Linked DNA regions of Neodiprion lecontei. The main gene of each other region encodes a partner of the protein of the gene in region 2 in a complex. Links are inferred from orthologs where the notes say so. Each region holds a gene or a part of one and is shown on either strand. Other genes may lie near its edges.

Region 1 (8,082 bases), on a different chromosome or scaffold from region 2:
ACTAAATTTGAACAAAACCACGACCAGAAGAGATTTGGAAATCGTAGACATCATGGTTCAGTTGTGGACCTCCTTTGCAACCAATGGGTAAACCGTTACTAATCAGTAAATTGCTATTATTTCACTAATTTAATTGGCAAAGTGTGTTAAAGAATTGATTTTTCAGAACACCGACGACTTTGGCTTCAAACGGCACAATATGGAAACCATTTTCGGCTGTAGAGAGAAACTATCTTCAAATAGGAAACGGATCTGAAGTTTCGCTCAAAGTTCAGCATTCTTTCTTTGAGGAGCGAATGAAATTTTGGGCTACCTTAAAAGAAACTCCAAAGACCTTAACTGTCCTATCAAACGGCTCAAATGCCATAACATCCAAATTTTATTCATTATTCGTACTTATGTTATCTTTTTCAAAGATATTTTTGTAACAGCGATGAAGAAATGGATAAAAAAATGGAGTCTTTGGCAGACAACTGAAATATAAACCTCAGTATAATCAGTATTAAATAAATAGTAGAGTCACGACGAAAGGGGGATGTTCGTTAGTTTTATTCCATCTTGTGATATTTCCAACAGTTATGTGAATCTTCTGATTAAAAAATGCTGACACTCACGCCCATTTTCTCCGATACAGTTTGAACGGCGTTCAATTTCTTCTGTAAGGCTTGGAGCTAGGCTGAACTTAGTTTAAACTTCGATTACCGTTGCAGGATTCGGATCTTTTTAGAGTTGGGTTAGCTAGCACTAGTATGGAATAATCATAAGCAATAAGCATGGATATGGTCATTCCAGTCAGATCTTACATCCTATGCATACTGAGTGCGATTTTTCTAGAATTTTTCTTCTGCTATTGGTTAAAAACTAGAGAAAGCGCAGTTGTTGCGACGATTATACAACCGTGGTCGTTGCGCTCCGTGTGCAACCAGTGAAAAGCGCTTACTACTAGAGAGTTACTACGTTTACGTACGATCGTTTCACACATTATGCGTTGATTATATGTATAATTTGTACCATGCTTATGCACACCACTAATAATCTGTACATTGTATAAACGGCGCATGATGCTTTAATAAAATTAAACAAAATTATTAAACTGTACAAGTTAAACACACTAAAAGTGCAGGAAGGATGGGTAAACTTAGTGAATTATAATATGTTTTTGCTGTTCGACGTGAAACATCATTTCTGAACCTCAAATAGTTTATATTAAGGGTGCGTTCAGAAACTAGGTGGCAGTGCTAAGAACTCCCTAGGACAAGGACAGAGCTACTCCCCAACGCGAAAGCGCAAAAGCGATAAAAGATGATTAACACTTGGAGCCAATTTCGGAACACAACCTGTAATTCAGTCAGTGCATTGCATACGAGACTCAGGGTGCGTTCCGATATTACCTTCCATTGCTGTTAACAATATTTTATTTTTTTTGCATTGTCGAGTTCATCAGTAGCTCTGCCTTTGTCCTAGGGAACTGTTAGCGCTGCCACCCAATTTCGGAACGCACCCCTGTATACAACGTGAACACCACGAATACGACCGTTTGCATTCAGAGCCGTCTGGTTACAGTGATGCGTACTACAAGCCGGCCCCAAACCCCCCAAACTAAATTGAATAGGAAATTGTACGCGAAGTCGCAAACGCGCCATAGTGTCGATGCGCGGTTAGGGTGACGCGTTGATATCCGTGTGAATTTGCCGTAAACAAGTGAGAGTGTTGGTATAACAATAAATAATTTTTATTTACCGCAACAACTAATAGATAATTTCCAAAAAAAATGCTAAACTGTATTGATTCGACCTTTCTAATTGACGATCTATTGACGAAGGGGAGTGCCTCGTACACGTAAAGCTTAGCTCACGTCAAATTACACTTAACAATTCGTCGCCAGATAACAAATTGTTTATTCTTACCTTCAAAAATCCTTATAACCTGCTAGTACTCGACCAATGAAAATGTCGCACAGTGCGAGCGCGGAAAATCTTTCAGTAGACGGTCAAGTAAGTGAATCACATGTCCTTTTCTACCTCATTATTTGTCACTTGTCACTTAAATTCTTCAGTATATATATATATATATATGAGCCTTACCTACGTGCACTGAGTCATATGGGCATTTATTATGCTGTTCACAGAGAATTCTTTCCCACTTGTCATAGGATACACTGCCTTCCTAATCCTCTTACATTTTGCATTTTTCTCAAAATGAAAATTAAACTTCACCTCTTATTCCTGCAAAAAATTAATATAATCAAGTACTTTACTATTTTTTTTTGTTTATTCACTTGTTATTAACGGTAACTAAACTTAATCTCCCTCATCATGCGTCTCGTTACATTATTCTAGTCAAAATAACTCTGAACCCCAATTTGACTTACGTAACAATTTGATTTTCAATTAGAGAACGATACCCTATTTATGTTCGTTACAATAAGCTGGATTATGAGATTTACAGGAACAATATTGCTGTTCTACTAAACAATTTCAAGTGAAGCAAAATTGCCATATACTCTATATCCTCAATAAATTGGTAAAAATAGAGTAAATGCAGAAGAATACCTTGTAACTCGCGTTTAATCGTTGCTTTTAATACTTTACCAACATTAATTAATTGGCTAAACTATGTAAAAACATAAAACGAGTTTGTCCTTTACAGAATAGCGGGGGAGATAGCAACATGTGTTTGGAATTGGCCCTTGAAGGCGAGCGTCTTTGCAAGGAGGGCGATTGCCGCACAGGTGTTGCATTTTTTCAAGCAGCAATACAGGCTGGAACGGACGACCTAAGAACGTTGAGCGCGATCTACAGCCAACTTGGAAATGCTTACTTTTATCTTGGCGATTACGTCAAAGCAATGCAGTATCACAACCATGATTTAACATTGGCAAGAACTATGGGAGATAAATTAGGGGAAGCTAAATCGAGCGGAAATCTTGGAAATACTCTGAAAGTTATGGGAAAGTTTGACGAAGCTACGATATGCTGTAAAAGGCATTTAGAAATATCGAGGGAACTAGGCGATAAGGTAAGATTTTTTATTCACCTCTGTTCCGCTCTTCCTTCCTCATGCATTCTCATTTTTAATCAAGCATTTTTTATGCATCAGCTCAGCGAAGGTCGAGCTCTTTACAATCTCGGAAATGTTTATCACGCCAAGGGTAAACAAATTGGCAGAGTCGGACAGCAAGATCCAGGAGAATTTCCTGAGGATGTCAGACAGTGTCTTCAGGAAGCTGTTCATTACTACGAGTATGTTACTTTTACATCTATAGAATAGCTTGTCTTCAAATTCAGTAATATTATATACGTACTGGATACCGCGGCTTTTTAATATTTTTTGCTCTGAAATGAATGCGTTGCAGTAGTGGCAACATTTTAGTATCCAATTACCTGATTGAACAATTGTGATTTCCTAGAGAAAATTTGAAGCTGATGAGAGAGTTGAGCGATACAGCTGCACAAGGGAGAGCATGTGGAAACTTGGGAAACACATTTTACTTGCTGGGTGATTTTCAACAAGCAATTCATTACCACAATGAAAGATTAAAAATTGCACGAGAGTTTGGTGATAAAGCTGCGGAAAGACGAGCCAACAGCAATTTGGGGAACTCGCATATATTTCTCGGAGAATTTGAAAAAGCAGCTCAACATTACAAGTAAGTTATCAGCGGGTTGAAGCCGAAGAACTTTGAAATTTTGTTATACCACAGGTTGATAACTCCTGATCCATTTTCAGAGAAACTGCTATTGAACTGTACAAAATTTCTCAAGGTGCGTTACTTCGTTACATGTTAAAATAATTAAAATTCAAAATTTGTTCACAGACGTACGCTGGTCCTTGCTCAAGAATTGCGTGACCGAGCGGTAGAAGCACAAGCGTGTTATTCCCTTGGCAATACCTACACGCTCCTCCGCGATTACCAAGCTGCTGTAGACTACCATCTCCGTCATCTTTCCATTGCGCAACAGCTGATGGATCGAGTTGGAGAAGGTCGAGCCTGTTGGTCGTTGGGAAATGCTTACTCAGCAATGGGTAACCATGAGAAAGCGTTGCACTTTGCCAGCCTACATTTGAATATTTCTAAAGAGTTGAACGATCCAATGGGTCAAGCTACCGCTCAGATGAACGTTACCGATCTGAAGAAACTTTTAGGCTTAGAAAAAGGGGACGGAGAAGCGGAGAGTGGAAACGGAATGCATTTAATCCCAACGAGCAAAGCCTCGGCTATAGCGGCTTCTTCGCCAGGTAGATACAGGTTGAGAAGACAGAGCATGGACAATCTGGATCTGATCAAGGTGAGCGATAGAATGTTTTTGTTCAATGCATCTCTAGACTGCAAATAGTTCTAAAATAACCGAATTTATTGTAATTATTCGGTATTTCCTTGCATATAGTTATTTACAAGGACCATGGAACCGGTAATACTTTCTTCTTTGAACAAAGATTATTGTGTATTAATATGTAGAATAACCAGATAGAAGTAAAACTACCAATTTTCAGTAAACAATACAACGTTCGAAGAGTCTGGTAATATAGAAAATAACTGTCGAAAAACCCCAGTGATTTTTCTTTGCAAGGCAATATCAAGGAAATTTTTTTATGAAAATTTTTCTTTGCACACATTTCACAAATATCATTTTTTCTCCAATCTTGTCCTATCTTGTTGTTCCATTCATTATGCATAGAATCTATAAGGCAACATAAAGTTGAGTATTGAATAACAGAAAGTTATTCAGTAAGAACAGTATCAGTTTTCATTTTAACATTTTATTATAATTTTGAGAAATATCGAATAACCTTGTTAATTAGAGTAATTGACGGTATGGATGGAATAGCTAATTGTAAGTCAATTTAACTATTTTTCCGGTGATCAGTTCAGGAAAAATGTATGGCCCAACTCTATAGGTTGTGTTACTTTACTTCTTGTGACCAGAAAACAAAGGTCACAACAGAATAATATTTTTAGACCATGAAAACATATCGTTCTAAAAATCATCACACGTCAAGCTTTCCTAACAATTCCTGTTAAACCTCTTATTAAACATTAGCATTTTCAAATTTTGTGCAAAGCATCTTCAACTCAAGTAAAACCATTGTCGCAAAAGATTTAAATTGGCTACCTTCAGATTCAGCTCATGTTACAATGCTTATACATTTCAGAAAACGAAGACGTTGATCAACATGTATTATTGACTGAAAATTGATAAATTTTCCCTTTATCCATCATGTATACAATCTGAAGTTATTGTAATTCATTATCCAAATTTTTATCCAGTTGACTCCAGATGGTAAGCAAAAAGATATGGGTGAGCCTCTGCCTGCTAGAGCCGGAATCGCACCACAGCCTTCGCAAGAAGAAGAAGAAGAATCTTTCTTCGAACTTCTATCACGATTTCAATCAGGTCGAATGGATGATCAGCGCTGTGTGCTAAATGCCAATCAAAAACCGAGACCCAGGCCAAGAGTGGCGACTCCAGAAAAAGAGAAAGAAGGAGAAGATTTACTGGAGCTAATAGCTGGAATGCAAAGTAAGCGAATGGATGAGCAGCGTGTAACTCTGCCTTGCTTGCCAGGATTGAATACAAACAGGAACAATCAGTCAGCGAATAGGCCTCCCCCACAGCCAATTGGGCAGGAAGCTGATGATTCATTTATTGAAATGCTGGTGCGATGCCAAGGCTCACGTTTAGAGGATCAACGTAGTCCTTTGCCAGCTGCTTCAACATTACACGATGCAGAGGAGGAACAAAACCAAAGAAGAAACGGAAACACCCCATCAAGAACTACCGTACCCGAAGAAGATCTGTTTGCCCTAATTCAGAGACTGCAGGCTGGTCGCATGGAAGATCAACGAGCTTCTGGACCAGCAAAAGGCCATTAAAACTGTAAGTAAGTATACCAACTATTTGATGAAAATAATAATAAATTAATACTAAGCAATCTTTGAAAAAATAACATTTTGGAAAGGTATCACCACTGTATAATCAACATGAGTAACTACAAATTTTCGGTGTAACCATTTGAATTTTGTAAAAATCAACTCATGGTGATTACAAATGATATGTTCAAAAATGTTACATTTACAATGTAATCAATGGCTAGGTGGTCGATAAAAATTTGTACAATAGATTCTTTATAAGTTCTCGCATGCTAATTTCCTCTCTTTTCACAAAATAGTCAATCGGGTGACTTTTCTTCTACCTACAATTGTGTGGTGCTCCCTAAAGTTTAATTAAAACTCTGTGTCCTGTCCAAATCGCATTTCGACCCTTCAAATAGGATGGTTTGTTTTCTGCCCAACTTTGCTTCTTTGACCACAGTTTGTCACATTAAAAAGAAACATTTTGATATCTTCCATGTTATTTACATCAAAAGGAGATATTTTGTCACAAGGTTATGGTGAAAATTTAGTAAACTAGTGCCGTGAACCAAATATAATACTTTTATGGAAAGCAAAATCAAACGACACTATCAAATTTCTTAAACCACCTAATAATTGATTATTTATCATTGAAATCGTGCCAAAAAAGTATCATGAGACTCTTGGATAAACGGACATATACTGAGATGTAAGTCAGAGTACTGCACAAGAGATTACAATTATCTTTGTGATAGATGTGTATAAAATTGTATAAATGCTGCGACAAAATCTATTAACAGTAAAATATATGTAGAAAACGTTAGAAAAATGTGGAGTAGGATACTGATCGGTTTTGTTGACTTTTTTCAACACCGTTACAATGAATCTTGAATATTTTGTTTCTCATTCACAATCCAAAAGAGTAGTGCATAAGGATTATCATTCAAACATAAAAAATAAAGGTACTACTAGATATGTACCTATATCCAATGCAGGAATCGAATGAACCGAAAGCCATAAAGCTAATATAGTTAAAGTAGTATTATTAATATGAAAAGTAAGTTAATCAATTTATTACTTCTACGTTTTGTCTGTAATAGGTCTCTTTTTTTCTTTTTGTCCCATTTGAGCGTCAGCAAATTTCTTCAACAGCCTAACTCTAGAAATCCAGCTTCTTAATTGTAAAAATATGTATTCGCCCTTGTAATTGGTGGTATGTACATACGTAGTATTATGTACATTCAATGCAGTTTTCCGAATTCATTACTATACTAAATTTCGATTACTTTTCGTTATATTGATTTGAAACATTATATAAAATTCAAACTAACATTTGATGCCACTCCGGATATTACATGATGAAAGCACATGCAAAACAGTAGACATTTGCAGTAATCAGTTATCTTCATAGACAAATCCCATCGGATAGCGTAGTGTTGTCTTGACGGTGCTAAGATCACTAAATAAAATACCATATTACATTTATTATTAATCGTTCCAAAGTACTGATTAAATTTATTCTTCACAGAGAATATATAGTAAAGAATCCTTTTTCGTATTTCGTAATTTTTTTTCGAATGAGGTAGTTTTTCCAACGCATGTATATTTTAATAATTAGGACGCACAATCTACTGTTTGTTGTTATTGCTAAAAATATACTCAGAGATAGTTGTCATTAAAATATTTACAGCCTTGTCGCTAACTTAAGTGGCAAAGAAATTAAATTTGAGAGTAAATCAAATGTGTGTTTCTTCCTTCAGATGAAATTTACTCTCCATGTTAACTGTTTAGCTGTCATTCAACAAGCCAAGTTATAGTATCCAATATGGATTAAATTTTATTGTAAAGCTATGAAATTCATAATGCGAACTATGCATAGACGAAACGATCAAACTTTTTAAAGCAAATGCCTTTTTATGCCTGCTATATATTTATAACACGTTACTGGAAATAAGTTCTGAGATGTGGACTTTGTTCAAAGACTGAACGAGTGTTTAATTAAGATGGCAAATGAAAAGAAATCGATTCTTAAACGCAGGAAGAAGCATTTTGATTCACGAAATTTATGGGTTCCGTAATAGTGAAGGTAAAACTTCGATTGTTGAAGTAAATTAATAATTCATTTTCCTAAACTGCTATAAAATTGAAAGATAATCTAACTGACTAGTATACGAACTTTTTGATCAATTATATAAACAAACTTCAATTGTAATAATAAGAAGGTATTG
Region 2 (7,039 bases):
TTTCATTAATGAAAAGCTCTGTTACGGGGACCGAGGTGGAATTTTGACGTATAGCTTTAGAAATAATAATCAACTTCACAACTGTGCAATGAATTGGATGCTGAGATGAACATTGTAAAAACACGCCAACGAAGTATCCGAATGATTCGGGACCTTAGGCTATTGCCTGATTCAAGGGATGAGGAATTGGTTCCCAATCCATCAGGAATCGTCGTTTGGTTCTCGTGTTCGCGGGTCACCGAGAAGCGCAGCGTGTGAATTTGAGGGTGAGCATGGGGTTGAAGGGGTGGAGTTAGCCGAGTGAAACACTGTCGTTACTTTGGCGAATGAGTCAGGCTTTCAGCGTTAAAGTGTAATACAACATTTCGCAATTGTGTAGGTATAGCCGGGCGGTATAACGCCCGTAGAGAAACAGTTTCATAACTGGGTCGAGGAAGGACGTGAGCACGAATGTACGAAAGCACGTTGATACGAACGCGTGCAACCGGGCGAGTGTAAATACCAAGAGTTTCCCCGAGAGCGCCTAATAGTTCACAAGAGTGGCTCAAAAGTACCTCTGAAAACGCCCGAAATCACCGAATAGGAAGTTGAATAATGGTAATAACAATAGCTGTAAAAAGGAAAAGAAAACTTTCCACCAACTGAGAGAGTCGAGAGAGTCGAGAGGGCGGCGAGGAAATGCGGGCAATTTAAAATACTCTTTGGTACAACTTGAACCGTAACTTGCAGCGACCTCGTAGTCTCACTCATCGTAGAGGCTTATGACTATTCGAGACGTTGCGAAGAACAGTACATTGTAACGAAAAGAACTCCTTGTTACGCACGCTTCCTTCCATAACAAGAGCATGTTACGCGTTCGTTCGCGAAGCACGAACTTGAGGTTAGGATCGCGTAATGTCAAAATTGATTGTTTAAATATTGTGAAACATCGGCAAAGTCAAACAAAGTGCCAAAAATGTCGAAAAAAAGTCTTCATTTCGCGTGACGAACGGCGCCACGAGGCCCATTTCCACGACTAAGGGATTCTTCGAGGAGTTTGAAAAATGTTGGGGGTGAAATTCACCCCAAGTGACCTATTAGGGTTAAAACATGCTTGCGTTATAGAAACGTCGTTTTTTCAGCAGTTCTACTTCCCTTCAAACGAGCGTTTTGTTCGCGCCAGATTAATCGTGCAGCCCGTTATCTCAAAATTATACCGACTTCACGAGGGTGATAATACGCTATAAACACTGATGTGCTTATTGCACAAGAAATTTAATAATTATCACTATTTCACCAATGCATATTACATGTACGTTACCAAGCACTGCAGCTCTCTTTTTCAATAAAACCAACACATCTGCATAGGCGAAGAGTTTCTCGTACTCACCTGAAACACAGTGAACAAATTTCATCACGTTAAACGAGTTCGTAATCTCAATTTTTAATCTTAAATAATTCCTGCAGAATCCAAGCGATTAATATTGCCCACAAGTGAAAATATTTCGCTAAGAATGTTTCCCACGCTGCTCGATCCACTTGATTTACGCCGTTCGTTACGTCAATTTGACTAGAAGTATGCACCGGATGTGAATGCAGACGCGTTCGCAGACATACCTTCAGATTTGAACGTCCGATGCAGCAACGTGACGAAGACATCGTCGCCTAGTTCTATTCGTGTCAGTTCAGTGTCAGGTAGAGCCTCCCTTTGCGATAGGTAGGAAGATCATAGACAAGCGCATACGCAAGTTATATGCAACCTAGTTGCTACAAGGTAGACAATGCGATCCGCCAAAACAAAGCCGACGCTGCATCTCACGCAGCCCTGCCTCTAGTCACGTTTGCGATAAACACGTTTCGTAGTTCGAGCCTATTAATTATCAAGCGAGAAATGAGTTGGAGGAGCGCATCGATTCAGCCACGGTTGTGATATTTACCTGTAATTTCGATGGATCAAGTTTGATCGAATATAACTCAAATCGTCGGTTCTTGGTGCCTGATGGCATATTTATTCATTATTAAAGCCCAGTACTCGCGATAATTTGAGACTTTAGTCAAGCTTGATTCGTCAAAATTGCCGATACATGTAATAACGATCAACGAGAAGAAAGCGATAACAAAATCTTTTCAATATACTCTCGAAACTATCGTAACGCAGTTTTGTAACTTAGTTGAAATTTTATTGTTTACGATCTACTCGTGAACTGATTACCTCGGAGGTGGAATGATCTGCAGAATTTTCTCACTTCAGATGGATAACTGCAATTGCCACTGAACACTTGACACACACTACCAATCTTATTTAATTACAATCACAGTAAGACTGTGAAACAATAAGTCCCTTCGACAAAAGATCACTGCAATTACTATTAATGAGTGGAAAAATTCTTCCGCGTCCGTTCGTCGCAGCTCGGTATTCGAGACTGAAACTCGAGTAGCGAAACTGGGCACGCTACATAATTGTTTACGTACGTGAGTCACCTTCGCGAACGAGTTCACCTAACGGCGTCCCGAAATACAAAACAAGACGAAATTTCCGACGTAGAATTGGCATACAGGTATCAGATGATTCGGTATTCATACATTCTAAATGAATTTAAGGGTGTATCTATTCCTACATGGAGAATAATTTTGTTCGCTTTAAATGCATGGATTTTTCAAGTACGACCCCGCATGTACACCCTTGAATTCCGAGGCAGCTGTGTAAAATACCACTTCCGAGTTTAAGAGCTGTGTATATATACGTTACCAGACTATAACAGAGATCCATTTTGTTTTGAATACATTTAAATTCATTTCGACACGCATTCTTTGCGCATCGGGTATAATTTATTCAAATTTAATTTGAATTTATTTTGGCTGTATAAAACGTAAAATTTGCATATCGTATCGATTAACATTTACAAGTCAAACTGAGGGATTTCATAAATTCAACGAACAGACAATGCGGAATGAGAAAGTTCCGTGTTGTTTACTGGGGTGGCCATTAACAGAATTTGAAAAAACTTCACCCTTGTCACATCTCAATTCGACTTGAAATAAATATGAGATGAAATCTTTAATTTCTCATTTCCTTCCCTGACTTGGAAAGAAACATTAACTTCAGCTACAGATCTGAGGATTGGCAAGGTGAAACATGCTTTGTGATCGAAAAAAATACTGCAACTGAAAAGCTTAATTCGCTAAATTTCTCATCCCGAGATGACAAACTTACGGTCAGACTGACAAGGAAGGTATCCCAGGTCGATCTCACCGATTTGATTTCTTTTTTAATAAATATGTTATAGTAGACTAAAAGCTAAGCGTATTTTTTGTATTTACCGTTAAACGCTTTAAAGGCTGTTTCACCCACAAGAACTCGCAACGAGAAATGAAAAATGTTATTTTCTCAATTACAAAATAAAAAAAAATAAAAAAACGAGCTAACAAATCGTCCTTGCGTGCCTTGCTTTGAAGGGTGGTTTCACCCCCTTAAGGCGTTTAATGGCATACGTGAAAGAAAAAAAAAAAAAAAAGAAAAGAAAAGTAGGCGTCGCTTAGTTTTTAGTCTACTTTCAGAGATCGACCTGGGATACTTTCCTCGCGGGAGGATTTCTGAAATCGAGAGTGGCGATACCTTCTTTCGGAGGGATATATCCGTGCACCTCGCAGTAACTGCCAGCAGGACCAGAGGCTCCGGGTGTGTCGAGGGTGAAGAGGGTGGTGGCGGAAGTGTTGAGGGTGTCGGAAGCCTGGTGAGTAGCCGAGTTCGGCTGGTGGATAGTGGACCTCGAATCCTGTACGCTGGTTTGGTGCTCCTGCTGGGCTGCCAAAATCTCTTCACGCCTGCACTTGGCGCATCTGCGCATCTCCGAGCGAACGCGAAGCAGCCAGACCATACCGAATAGAGCCATGTCAACCCGTGGAACGTTTTCCCCCGACGGAACCGTCATTCTCGCCGAAACGCAGTCATCGATTATATGCTCCACCGATATTCCGTGATACATCACCGGATAACGCACTATTCGACACTGTTTAACCACCGCACTGGAAGAGCGTCTTCAGGACTCGCTGCGACGAGTCAGCGACGATTCGGACCTTCCGCATCCTCGGTTTACCTTCATCTTCGCAGAGCCCTTTTCATTCGAGTCATTCTCGACTGGTATTCTGACTTTTCGTGTGTTCGTGGAAAGAATTCCGAACTCTCCAGACTGTTTGAGTATAATTTGGCAAGTTCTCATCTACGTCTGTTCGTCTCATCCACCGGAGGCTTCTGTTCTCGTATTACGGATCAACGAAATAGAAAATAAGCTGGGATTTACTCCCGCTGTAATTTATAATTGAAGAATCTTTTTCAGATACTTTGAGAGTACCAAAGAGCGCTAAGCGCTGATCAATTAACAATGCAAAGAATCTCGTCGCTTTCCCTGAGAATTTTTCAGCTGAACGATCGCCATTCAGGGTTGGGCAAATAATTTCACGTCGTATTCACGCAGCCTTTGTACAAGGAAAGGGGGAAAACATTTCAGCGACCAGGTGTCTGGAAGTAAAATCTGCGATGAAATTGTATCCCGCGAGGAACCATCTACCAGGGGTGAAAACCTCGCCCCGACACTCAGGGATTTTCCATAAATTGTACAAAACCGTAGAAACACAGCCCTCCTGATACCCACACGTGCGAGAGATAGACTCCTTTTAATCCCTCTCCCGTAATTCGCAGGACACGCAATTAAAACTTGGTCAATTCCACTGCCTAGGGTCGAATCTGGTACAACAAGTTACACAAATTCTCCCCCATTCTTGGAGCAACATTCACCTTCCGCCCTACTTCGTTCGAGTAAAGACTGCAGAACGGTGGAAAATCTTATTCATTTATTTATTTATTTCATGCAAGTAAAAGCGCGGTGAATAGAGAGAGAACGATTTTCAATGGTGATAACGCGGATATTCAGCCACGAGTATCCGGCATTTTACGCTTCTTCGATTCGTTCGTTATTTTTTGACGACTCGATCGTAAACGCGAAGTAGTTGATTGGCGTTCGAAACGACGATGAAGAAAAATGACATCGACGTCGAAATATTATGTTGCCGTTATAGAAAACGAAGAGAAAGTTTTATTATTTTTGTTTTTAGTGCTCGTAACAACATCATGAACGCGTTTATAACTTGGCTGCGGGTTATCCGGCGTGAATACAAATATATAAGTTCGGAGCCGTCCTGCCGGGTTGTGCGTTGGGCATGTCCTTGTAGACATGTGAAAAAATGGGGATGGAAAGGGCGGAGCGGTCGGCGACGTTCTGAGGAAGATTTATTTCTACGACTCCGATAAATTTATCCTCAAGGCGAGAGTAAGGAAGCGTGTTTTTGAACGAAAGGAACGTATAGCTGGTTCCTGGCGACGGTGAGGAAAATAGTGGACAAGAAAGGGAAACACTCGACGTATAGTGCAAGGTCCGTTCCATCGTCAGTCGAACCACCCCCGATACGTCGGCGTTATTTCGACTAACTTACGATCGGCCCTCGAGAGGATTTTCGCGGCGATTTCGCCTGTTAATCGTTATTTCAAGAATTATATCCTGATTTAAGGTTGCATCTTAGTCGGCTTGGCCGGGTCGCGGAGAGGCGCAAAAGCGGGAGAGAGAGTGTCCGAGAGAGAGGGAGAGAGACGGAGGAGAGCCATTTCAGCGGGAGCTCGAGTAATGGTACGAGACTAATAAGCTACCCTCGGCTTGGCCTGGGATTTCGTGCGGTGGTGCTGGGAAAGCACTCCGGGCCTTTCGCCAACCGGAGGGTGTTGCCCGAGCTTGAGAAAACTGCGAATTGAATATTGATTCCAAGACCGCAAAATTGCGACCCGAGAACCCGTAACGCTCAATGCTGCACGGCTCTTCTTCTCTTCCTAAATACCTCCCCCTCCCCTGCCCCCGTCTGTTTTTGATCATCTCCTAAAGTTCAACTTTTATCCCCAACTCGGTTATTTTATTATCGCGATAAAAAATACCCACTCTTCCTCATTTTCCTCCTTTTTTTTTTTTTTTAGTACTACTTTGCAAAGTTCCGACTCCCCTCCTGTTTTTTTTCTTTTTTATTTTTGTTTTTTATCTTCAATTATTTATTTATTTTTTTTTTATTTTTTTTTCGTTTTCACTTTTCGCCCGTTCCTCTTCACGGAGCTTTGTCTTTGTTTGGCACACGTTTCGCTGGTCGTTAATGTGTCAAGGGCGGCAGTTTCGAGGAATGTAAAGTAACCCTTAAGCGCTGAAGACTTCCGCGAAATTTCGTTACGAATTACTTGGAAACGGTTCATCGACGTGGCAGCGAGGATGAAAAGTTTTCATTCAAACTTCCAGCCCGTTAAAATTAATCCGCACAAAAATTTTGTTTGCAAGCTTGGCGTCATCGTTTTAAAGCCGACGATGGTGATAATCATCCTCCAAAGGCGCAAGGCAGGTCAGACGTCTTCCGGCTAAAATACGTACGGCAATACCTTCGACACATTCCCTTTGTCTCCAGATATTTTGTCGTATTATTTTCACGCTCGTAAAGTCGGAAGGTTTCCGAGTAGATTTACTCAAGGCGCATTGACAATGGATGAGGAGGGGAGGCAGAAGACGGATAGTCATTAGTCGGGGAATTGCTCGAGGCAGAATAAGCAACGTTTCTAAAAGTATTCTCTTTCTCTCTTTCCACCTTTTCGCCAATTATTGTAATCTGCTGCCACGTCGAGGTCGAGGCTGTGCAGTGATAATCGTAAATTCTTTAATTATATAGGTACGTCATAGCTTTGGCTCAACTTTTAAATTTACAACTGTAATTTTTGAAATTGAGTTTTCCCCTCGTCAAAGGCAGCGCGAGTCTGCGTCTATATATATATATATGTATATAACTATATACAACCCACTTGCAATTAAACACTTTTCTCACGACGGAATTCCGCCAAGCCCAGATCCACGCTAATTAAGAAATTCAAATCGGCTCTCTGCGGGATGCGAAAATGATTAATCAAGAAACATTGTATTACAATGAATTAAGATGTATTCATAACCAGCATTCGTCGAAAGGGCGTCATTGGGAATTTTGC

The links. The genes of interacting proteins can lie anywhere in the genome.
Region 1: the proteins of disks large 1 tumor suppressor protein (region 2) and G-protein-signaling modulator 2 are in contact, whole or in part, in a crystal structure (PDB 3TVT), measured with the Drosophila melanogaster proteins. The link is inferred for Neodiprion lecontei from reciprocal best matches to the Drosophila melanogaster genes dlg1 and pins. Residues at the interface, in NP_996406.1 of Drosophila melanogaster: Cys808, Val809, Pro810, Arg814, Arg817, Arg824, Asp825, Tyr826, Ile839, His842, Phe844, Ile845, Glu846, Ala847, Gly848, Gln849, Tyr850, Tyr855, Ser877, Asn879, Arg883; in NP_524999.2 of Drosophila melanogaster: Arg434, Met437, Gln439, Leu440, Asp441, Leu442, Ile443, Lys444, Ile445, Thr446, Pro447.

The regions. Positions count from the first base shown.
Region 1 is NC_060266.1:5,769,006-5,777,087, reverse strand, and holds the start of G-protein-signaling modulator 2, read left to right. Parts: upstream 1-1,620; 5' UTR 1,621-1,943; coding exon 1,944-1,994; intron 1,995-2,649; coding exon 2,650-3,018; intron 3,019-3,099; coding exon 3,100-3,242; intron 3,243-3,409; coding exon 3,410-3,649; intron 3,650-3,817; coding exon 3,818-4,289; intron 4,290-4,388; coding exon 4,389-4,412; intron 4,413-5,269; coding exon 5,270-5,875; 3' UTR 5,876-8,082. Other genes in the region: esterase E4-like, read left to right, coding at 1-87, 167-428.
Region 2 is NC_060260.1:7,308,649-7,315,687, forward strand, and holds the start of disks large 1 tumor suppressor protein, read right to left. Parts: upstream 3,927-7,039; 5' UTR 3,912-3,926; coding exon 3,596-3,911; intron 1-3,595. UniProt on the Drosophila melanogaster protein: During embryonic development, some isoforms are essential for proper neuronal differentiation and organization. Required for cell polarity; maintenance of apicobasal polarity.